Tribolium castaneum: one gene and its partner. The protein of the gene in region 1 interacts with the protein of each later gene in a biochemical or structural test. Links are inferred from orthologs where the notes say so. Each region holds a gene or a part of one and is shown on either strand. Other genes may lie near its edges.

Region 1 (4,230 bases):
TTCAACTGACCACCCTCATTACGTAAAGAATGTAAATACCACCGCAGAGCCAACTGCGGAGGAATTTACGCTAATTTCAAATGTATAGATGTTTGTTGTAGGGTTGTACAATAGTATAATCATCGAACTATGTGTGTAATTATTACGATTCATTTTAAACATAATATTTTCGGTTATTGTTTCGTATGTAATATTTTTTACTTAACTATAAATGTGGATGTGGATTTAATCTAACAATATTATATCACTGTATTTGACACATTCAGACAAAGAAATAAAATGTTTAACATTAAGCTGTTGGTTTTCATTCCCCCAGCACGCCGCAAGGAGGATTTGGATACGTAGTTATTTTAAGAAAAATGAAATGTTTTATTTGGTATAATTCAAGTGGCAGCTTACTTCAAGTTTCTGTCTCACAAGAAGCTTTCAGAAAAAAATTAAACTCAAGAATAATATCAACTGATAAATAATTATAAACCAATAAGCACAAAATATGAATGATCGCTAATTGCAAGCTCCCTGATTAATTATTCAACCATTAAAACCTTCATATTGAATTATAAATCGATCCTTCGGAGAGAAACAATATTATTCTCTTTCTTTAAGATTTATATCAGTTAGAAATTCTATTTATTTTTAAGTAGTACCGTTGAGGTGCCCTTCCAGTTAACAACAATTTAACAGTCTTGTTAGGCATTTTAAACATATTATTAGTCAAGCCAATTTTTGTCCGATTGGCGGTTACAGGGTTGCAACTCCTTCAAAACCTGCTACCAACTGAAACATTGATTCTGGATCACTTTGTATCAAAAATGAATACACAGACCAAAATTAGCTTGTCTTCAAAAAAGTTAATTTAGGAATTCCTTCTTACCTTTTGCTCCTGCGATGAAATTACACGCGAAGATGCTTCTTCCAAAGAAGGAAACGAAGGAAATAAGATGAAAACAGGAAGGACAAGGAAAAATATTAATTTTCACAATTCGACGACACTTGAATATAACGGCGGAGAGTTCTCAAAAATCTGAAAAGCTCTTACTTAAAATAGTGTTTCAAACACAAAACACAACGTCATGGTACCTTTTTTCCCTTTTTTCCGAACCCAGAGTACCATCAAGACACTTCAAGACCATGGAATATCAGCGACCTCTTCACAAAATGAAATTAAGTACTATTCGTAAACAGAAAACTGTAATCTTCTTAAATCAACAAAAGGCACAACAAAAAATATGATTAAGAACGCAAAAGTGTTAATATTGATTACTAAAGTCTTAATTTTTACGAATGATAATGATATTATCATTTCCTATTTTCTTTAAATAAATAATTATATAAATAAATTTGTTGGTTTACTGCGTTTGTAGTTAGAACATTTTGGTAGCAGTGCCAAAATGCTAAAAGTTATCAATTGGTGTTACAATTTGGTAGATTTTTTTTTAATTTCGATAAAATACTGTATTTTTCGAGCTGAAAACCATTCGCGAGCAGGCTCACCCAACCGCGCTTTTTTTCCGTGACATTGTCTATTGTCATATGTCATTCCTGGAGGTTATGTTTTGATTGTGTGTGTTTTTAGTGCAATTGTGATTCAGAAAAAAGCAGCGGAAATGCATTTAAGTACTTTAAATGTGGTGTTTTAAACCTTCACACGTTTCTTCTTAATTGACGAAAAACTGTGCTAAATATTGCCTTGTCTAAAGCTTGTGCAACGTTAGACAAGAGGCGATTTTGCAATCATGAATATGCGAGATAAAGAGAAATACATTGAAAATTTCCATTTCCCGTTCTGTGATGAATCGGAAAAATACGAGAAAATTGCGAAAATTGGCCAAGGAACGTTCGGGTAAGTGACTTAGTTGGGGTTACTTGGGGTCACATATTGTGCCCCATTTGTTGTATTTCTCCGATTGTAGTGAAGTGTTCAAGGCGAGGGACAAAAGTAATCCTAAGAAATTCGTAGCAATGAAAAAAGTGTTAATGGACAATGAAAAAGAGGGCGTAAGGGGTCATTAATTTTTTGCAAAGCTTTCAAACTTGTATTCTAGTTTCCAATCACAGCTTTGCGCGAAATACGAATTTTGCAACTATTGAAACACGAAAACGTTGTTAATCTTATAGAAATATGCCAAACTAAGGCTGCATACCGCAACAGATACAAGTCAACGTTTTATTTAGTGTTCGATTTTTGTGAACACGACTTGGCCGGGTTGTTGTCAAACGTCCACGTTAAGTTTAGTCTAGGAGAGATAAAAAAAGTAGTGCAACAATTATTTAACGGTCTGTATTACATACACAGCAACAAAATTCTTCATAGAGATATGAAAGCCGCCAATGTGTTAATTACAAAGAATGGTGTTTTAAAATTGGCCGATTTTGGCCTAGCTCGTGCATTTAGTACCAATAAGAATGGACTGCCAAATAGGTGAGTTCAAACAGTAAATTAAAAAATTGGTCACTAGTTTGTAATCTACTATTTCAGATTTACAAATCGTGTCGTTACGTTATGGTATAGGCCTCCAGAACTGTTGTTAGGTGAAAGAAACTACGGCCCCCCAGTTGATTTGTGGGGGGCTGGCTGTATTATGGCCGAAATGTGGACAAGGTCCCCCATAATGCAGGGCAACAGCGAGCAACAACAGCTCACTCTGATTTCTCAACTTTGTGGCACCATCTGCCCCCAGGTCTGGCCAGGAGTTGAGAATCTGGAGTTGTACAAGAAGATGGAACTCCCCGTCCAAAAGCGAAAAGTAAGTCCCGTAGGAACAAAGATCGCTTCAATTATAAGCCTAGAATATTTATTTAATCCTCTGTACGAGGTAATGTTTCCACCACGTTCTGAACTGTAGTTTATAAACCGTAATTATTTACATATAAATTCGGAAAAAATGTGATTAAACAAGATCACAGATTTTATTTTTATTATTATTATTTTTTAATCTTCTCCAGGTGAAAGAGAGGCTGAAGCACTACATGAAAGACCCGTACGCTTGTGATTTACTCGATAAGCTGTTGGTCCTCGACCCCGCCAAACGGGCCGATGCTGATACGGCCCTCAACCATGACTTTTTCTGGACTGACCCAATGCCATGCGATTTGAGCAAAATGTTAGCCACTCACACTCAAAGCATGTTTGAATATTTGGCTCCGCCGAGAAGACCGACACAAATGAGGCATCATTCGTTGCCAAGACCGACAACTTCCGCTGTGCAAGACAGCGGATACCAAGATAGGGTTTTTTAGTTGTAAGAAACACGGACATTGTGGTTATTTTCAAGTAATGTGGAAATTGTTTCTAAAGTGGAAACATAACTGAAGGTTTTTCGGGAACCCTAAAATTTGATGTTACTTTTTATTATCTTTTTGTAACGTTTAATATGATGTTACTTAGTTAACATAGCGAATAAACTGTGTAAAAACGCTTGGTGTTTTTTTGGGGTGGAATGAAATGACTTGTTAGTACATATTATATATTTTATTGGTTTGACTGCACTGCCATCCGGCCTTACAATTCAACAACATGGCACACTGTACATGTATCTGTAAAATAATATATATGTATCTGTACATATCTGTTAGCTTGTTTCATAGATCCTCTACATAGGTAAATAACATTCTTGAAGGAGAAACCTTCATTCAAGGCACTTCAATAATCATTGTCTTCTCTTCATTTAATTAGATGTAGTTTCCTACCCATTTCAAATTGTTCTAAATTAACGCAATAACATTGTAACTCTGTTGCTAATTTAGTTGAGCTTACCGAAAGTTTTGGCAAAAAGAACTGGTAAATAAAATGAACCACTCATAACAATGACCTTTCAGAATACTGATTACGAAACCGTAAAATTTTGAAGGCAAATATCACAGAATGCCCAACAAATTACACATTAAATCACATTTAATTGTAAAACATTGCGGAGGACGTCAAACTTAACAAACGAGAAATTAATCAATCATGGCATATTTACATTTTCGGGCGCGGTTAAATTTAACCCCTCCTTCACTTAATTAACTTAACATTAAATTGAATTTATCTAAGACATTCTGTATATACACAATAAATAACAATTCTTGTCACCAAATTTGAACGATCTGAATTACAAGCATTAAGGATAACCGTCAATGTAGAAAAGCACAGAGTGAGGTATATGTTACGATAATCTAATAATAACGTACAATTCACACTTTATAGTTACGATCTTTAAAATAAAGACATGGAGGGAAGTGTCGTTC
Region 2 (4,299 bases), on another chromosome or scaffold:
GGGGTGGAGTTTGGCGCTCGAATGATCACCATTGATGGCAAACAAATCAAATTACAAATTTGGGACACTGCCGGACAGGAGGCTTTTAGATCTATAACGCGGTCGTACTATCGGGGGGCTGCTGGCGCTCTTTTAGTTTATGACATTACGAGGAGGGAGACTTTCAACCATTTGACTACATGGCTTGATGATGCCCGCCAGCATTCCAACTCAAATATGGTCATCATGTTGATTGGAAACAAAAGGTGTTCATCCCGTTTTATTTTTTTTTTTTTCAAAAGTGTTAACTAAACCCTTCCAGTGATCTAGAGAGTAGGAGAGAAGTGAAAAAGGAAGAAGGAGAAGCTTTTGCCAGAGAACACGGACTAGTCTTTATGGAAACTTCAGCAAAAACGGCCGCCAACGTTGAAGAAGCGTTTATAAACACAGCAAAAGAGATCTATGAGAAAATACAAGAGGGAGTCTTTGACATTAACAATGAGGTAAATCAGCGGTTCTGCTCTGTTAAGCTAATTGGCATTTTCTAAAGGTTACACAAACTTTAGAAATCAATAATTTTATACATTAGCAAGTTCATTACCCCATTTTTGGTGATACTTTCTTCTGACTTTGAAATTAAGTTGGCAGCTTGAGACGTCACACGTATAGTGCTGCCAACTCAAATTCACAACTATTGTGTTTTAAATTTTGTTGTTGAAATTGTGCAGGCAAATGGAATCAAGATTGGCCCCCAACATTCCCCCACAAATCCATCGCTTCCTGGTGCAGGCGGCGCCGGGGGTTCGCAGGGTTCGAGTTGCTGTTAAGATGACTTGTCTGTCTTGAGGGTTACATTATGTGTAAGAGAGAAACCCTTATTAAAGAATTGAAAGTGACTGCACAGGTTTATTACATAAATTAATGATCTGATATCTTCCAAATTAGCAAGTTGCACTTTACCCCATCGTTCAACAACCTTTAGAGACAAAACTTTTCAAATATTTTGATACATATGGTGATATTGGCCCCCACTAATTTATGTAATGAAAGGATTATTATTGTGATTATTTTAAGAGTGTGGTATAGTTAGTCCAATACAGGTCACATATTTATTGTTTTGAGTTCATATTTTATAGAGTACCAACCGAAAAGCCGTTTCAGAAGCATTACATCTTACTTTAAACCAACTTTATTTTTGTTATTGGTGATAATAGTGTTATGTGTTTTATTGCGACTATTATACTTAATTAAGAAATGTAGTGTTTATCTCATTAAATAAATTTGTATTGTAAAACGTCAAATTTTTTATGTAAGCTTCATGTAATATAATCAAATATAAGTTGTATTGCCAGTTTGTGTTTGTTTTACCCAAAATTTGAAACGGGCGCGTGAGTAATGGCACCCGGAAGTGCACGCGTCGTCCAATCAGGCCGCGTTCTGCGTTCATGAGTGAAGTCGTTTCCGTGCAAGATGGCGGAAAAAACTATGTGCATATCACAGCAACAAACAAAACCTATAAAAATTTTAAAATGGAAAGTGAGCGAAGGGAACACTGTCTCGATCGGAAGAGTAATCCTTCTGTATGATTTTGACGGGGCTTCCAAGGTGGAACAACGCAAGTTGAAGGTAACACAGGCCGGAACAATTTTTAAGATTGTGGCGCAGGAAGGCGCCATTGTCAAGCCAGGGTAAGCAACAGTTTTGAAAAGGCGCGCGAAAGCTCACGCTCGAATTTTCAGCGAGACTTTGTGCGAATTGAAAGAATGCACGCATCCGACGGTGATGAACGACATGTGCGCAGAATGCGGCACGGATTTGAGGAAAAACGACGTCAGTGTGGCGGCTTCCGTGCCCATGGTGCATGCCATACCTGACTTGAAAGTCAGCGAAGAGGTGGTTGCGTTATATAAAATGCCGCTGCGGGGGTTTGACTTGCATTGTTGCAGCTTGCACAGAAACTCGGCAAAGCGGACGTTGATCGGCTTATTAGAGACAGGAAACTTGTCCTGCTTGTGGACTTGGATCAGACCTTGATCCACACAACCAATGACCACATTCAGCCGAACATCAAGGATATCTATCGCTTTCAGTTATACGGGCCCAATTCACCTTGGTACTTCACAAGGTTGAGGCCCGGAACCCATCAGTTTTTGAACAATATTTACCCGTTTTACGAGCTGCATATTTGCACCTTTGGCGCAAGGAATTACGCACATATGATTGCTGCGGTTCTGGACAGGGACCAGAAGTTTTTCTCAAATCGTATTCTCTCGCGGGATGAGTGTTTTGACCCAACTAGCAAAAAGGCGAACTTAAAGTACGTATTTGAAAAGAAAAATCTGAAAAATCATTCCGTTATTCCTGTTTTTTGAGTCTTTCAAAATCATAAGTAAATAGTTTTTCTCTTCAAGTGTTTTTGAATCACTTTGCATATGTTCACTCTACCATATTTGAGTGTAGAAGGTCTAGCTTTCGAAAAAAAAAAGGCAAAAATGAGACCAGGATGAAAAACTTGATAAATTCGGACAAGAAAGCAAAATTAAAAGTAATTTTTGCCTTAATTACTCTCAAATCGAAGGTACTTTAAGACGAACTTGCACAATAAATAAATATATCGGATTAAAAATTTAAAACCAACTTGTTAAACTGAGAGAAGCAAGCTAAAGTAACAGTTTCGATCTAATTTTCTAGTCTTAGACTATCTTCGTGATATTTAAAACAACAATTGTGCTAAAAGTTCGCGAAAATATTTTTTTATATTTTTTGATACGCTGTGTTACATAATTTTTTATATTTAGGGCTCTATTTCCTTGCGGGGACAACATGGTGTGTATTATTGACGACAGAGAGGACGTGTGGTCGAACGCCGCAAATTTGATTCATGTCAAGCCGTACCATTTTTTTCAACACACCGGCGACATAAACGCACCCCCTGGTTTAGACAAACATGAAAATGATAACAAGGGAGTTGATTTAACAAAAATTAAAGACCAGAAAAAAGACGAACAAATCCAGAATAACGATAGTAAAGCGACAGAAAATGACAGTGAGAAAAATGGTGAAAATGTCGAGGAAAGTAAAGTTGAGAATCAGGTTTCAAATGAATCTGAGAGTACAAAAAACGAGAGTAAAGAAAATACCGAAGATAGTGAAGGAAATAATAAAGTAGATGAAAATAAAAACGGTGACGACAGTAGCGAACAAAAAATTGAAAATGTTGAATCTAAAGGTGTGAATGGTGAAGCAGTAACTAATGACGAAAAGCCTCCACCTGAAGAAAGTAAAACGCAAACGGAAGGGGACACCAAAACTGAAACCCCTCCGGAAACAAAAAACGCAATCGAAATAAACAATCATTTAGTAGAAGTTGAAGACCCCGATGACTATCTCTCCTATCTAGAAGATATACTAAAACGTATTCATCAAGCTTTCTATGACGCTTATGATAAAATGGAATCGGGAGAGGTTCCCGACTTGAAGAAGGTGATTCCCGGGGTGCGAAGTCAGGTGCTACAGGGCTACAAGCTGGTTTTTAGCGGGTTGGTGCCAACTCACATCAAATTAGAACAATCAAAAGCGTACCAAATCGCCAAGAGTTTGGGTGCTGAAGTTACGCAAGAGCTGGAGGACGACACGACACATTTGGTGGCTGTTAGGCCAGGCACTGCTAAGGTGAACGCCGGCAGAAGAAAGAAGAACTTGAAGATTGTTACACCCGATTGGCTGTGGTGTTGTGCAGAACGGTGGGAGCACGTAGACGAGAAGATTTTTGCTTTGAATAGCAAAGGCTCAAAAAACCGGCATCCACCGCCTCATTGCAGCAGTCCAGAGCATATTATAAGTTATCCAGAGCACAATACGCCCGCTATGCGAAAAAGGACACCCAGTGGAAGGTTTATGGACACGATTAATCCTCTCATGTCGTTTTCCAGCGCAGATATAGCGGATATGGATAAGGAGGTAAGGTTAAAAATTAGGTGAAAGGGGAATACGTTTATTGTGTTCCTAAACCGGACACTAGGGTACCAGCTATAGAAAAAAAGCGTTGTCCATAAAATCTTAATTAAATTTGCAGCAACCAAGACTTTTATTTAATAAAAAATCGTCAATTAAAAATAATGTAGGGCGACGAATTTGTTTTCAACCAACTTCAGTTAGGATCTTCTTTATCTGACAAACTGGTCGAAAGTCGGCAATTAGTTTTATTCAGTTTGACATTTTGTTTTATAATTACAAACGTTTTTTTTTTTTGGTACTCTTGCCTTTTGCGGTTGGGGGCAATGTAATTATGAATATTTGTTCAAAATTGTAATTAAAAAA

Evidence for each region.
Region 2: of the proteins of Cdk9 (region 1) and Fcp1, one has a biochemical effect on the other in vitro, tested with the Homo sapiens proteins (3 studies listed by BioGRID). The link is inferred for Tribolium castaneum from reciprocal best matches to the Homo sapiens genes CDK9 and CTDP1.

The regions. Positions count from the first base shown.
Region 1 is NC_087394.1:32,585,474-32,589,703, forward strand, and holds Cdk9 (cyclin-dependent kinase 9), read left to right. Parts: upstream 1-1,510; 5' UTR 1,511-1,736; coding exon 1,737-1,843; intron 1,844-1,913; coding exon 1,914-1,998; intron 1,999-2,045; coding exon 2,046-2,422; intron 2,423-2,479; coding exon 2,480-2,747; intron 2,748-2,946; coding exon 2,947-3,240; 3' UTR 3,241-3,418; downstream 3,419-4,230. UniProt on the Homo sapiens protein: Protein kinase involved in the regulation of transcription.
Region 2 is NC_087396.1:10,632,682-10,636,980, forward strand, and holds the start of Fcp1 (RNA polymerase II subunit A C-terminal domain phosphatase), read left to right. Parts: upstream 1-1,409; 5' UTR 1,410-1,449; coding exon 1,450-1,667; intron 1,668-1,718; coding exon 1,719-1,872; intron 1,873-1,925; coding exon 1,926-2,296; intron 2,297-2,777; coding exon 2,778-3,939; intron 3,940-4,299. Other genes in the region: Rab2 (ras-related protein Rab-2), read left to right, coding at 1-245, 302-482, 708-806. UniProt on the Homo sapiens protein: Processively dephosphorylates 'Ser-2' and 'Ser-5' of the heptad repeats YSPTSPS in the C-terminal domain of the largest RNA polymerase II subunit. This promotes the activity of RNA polymerase II.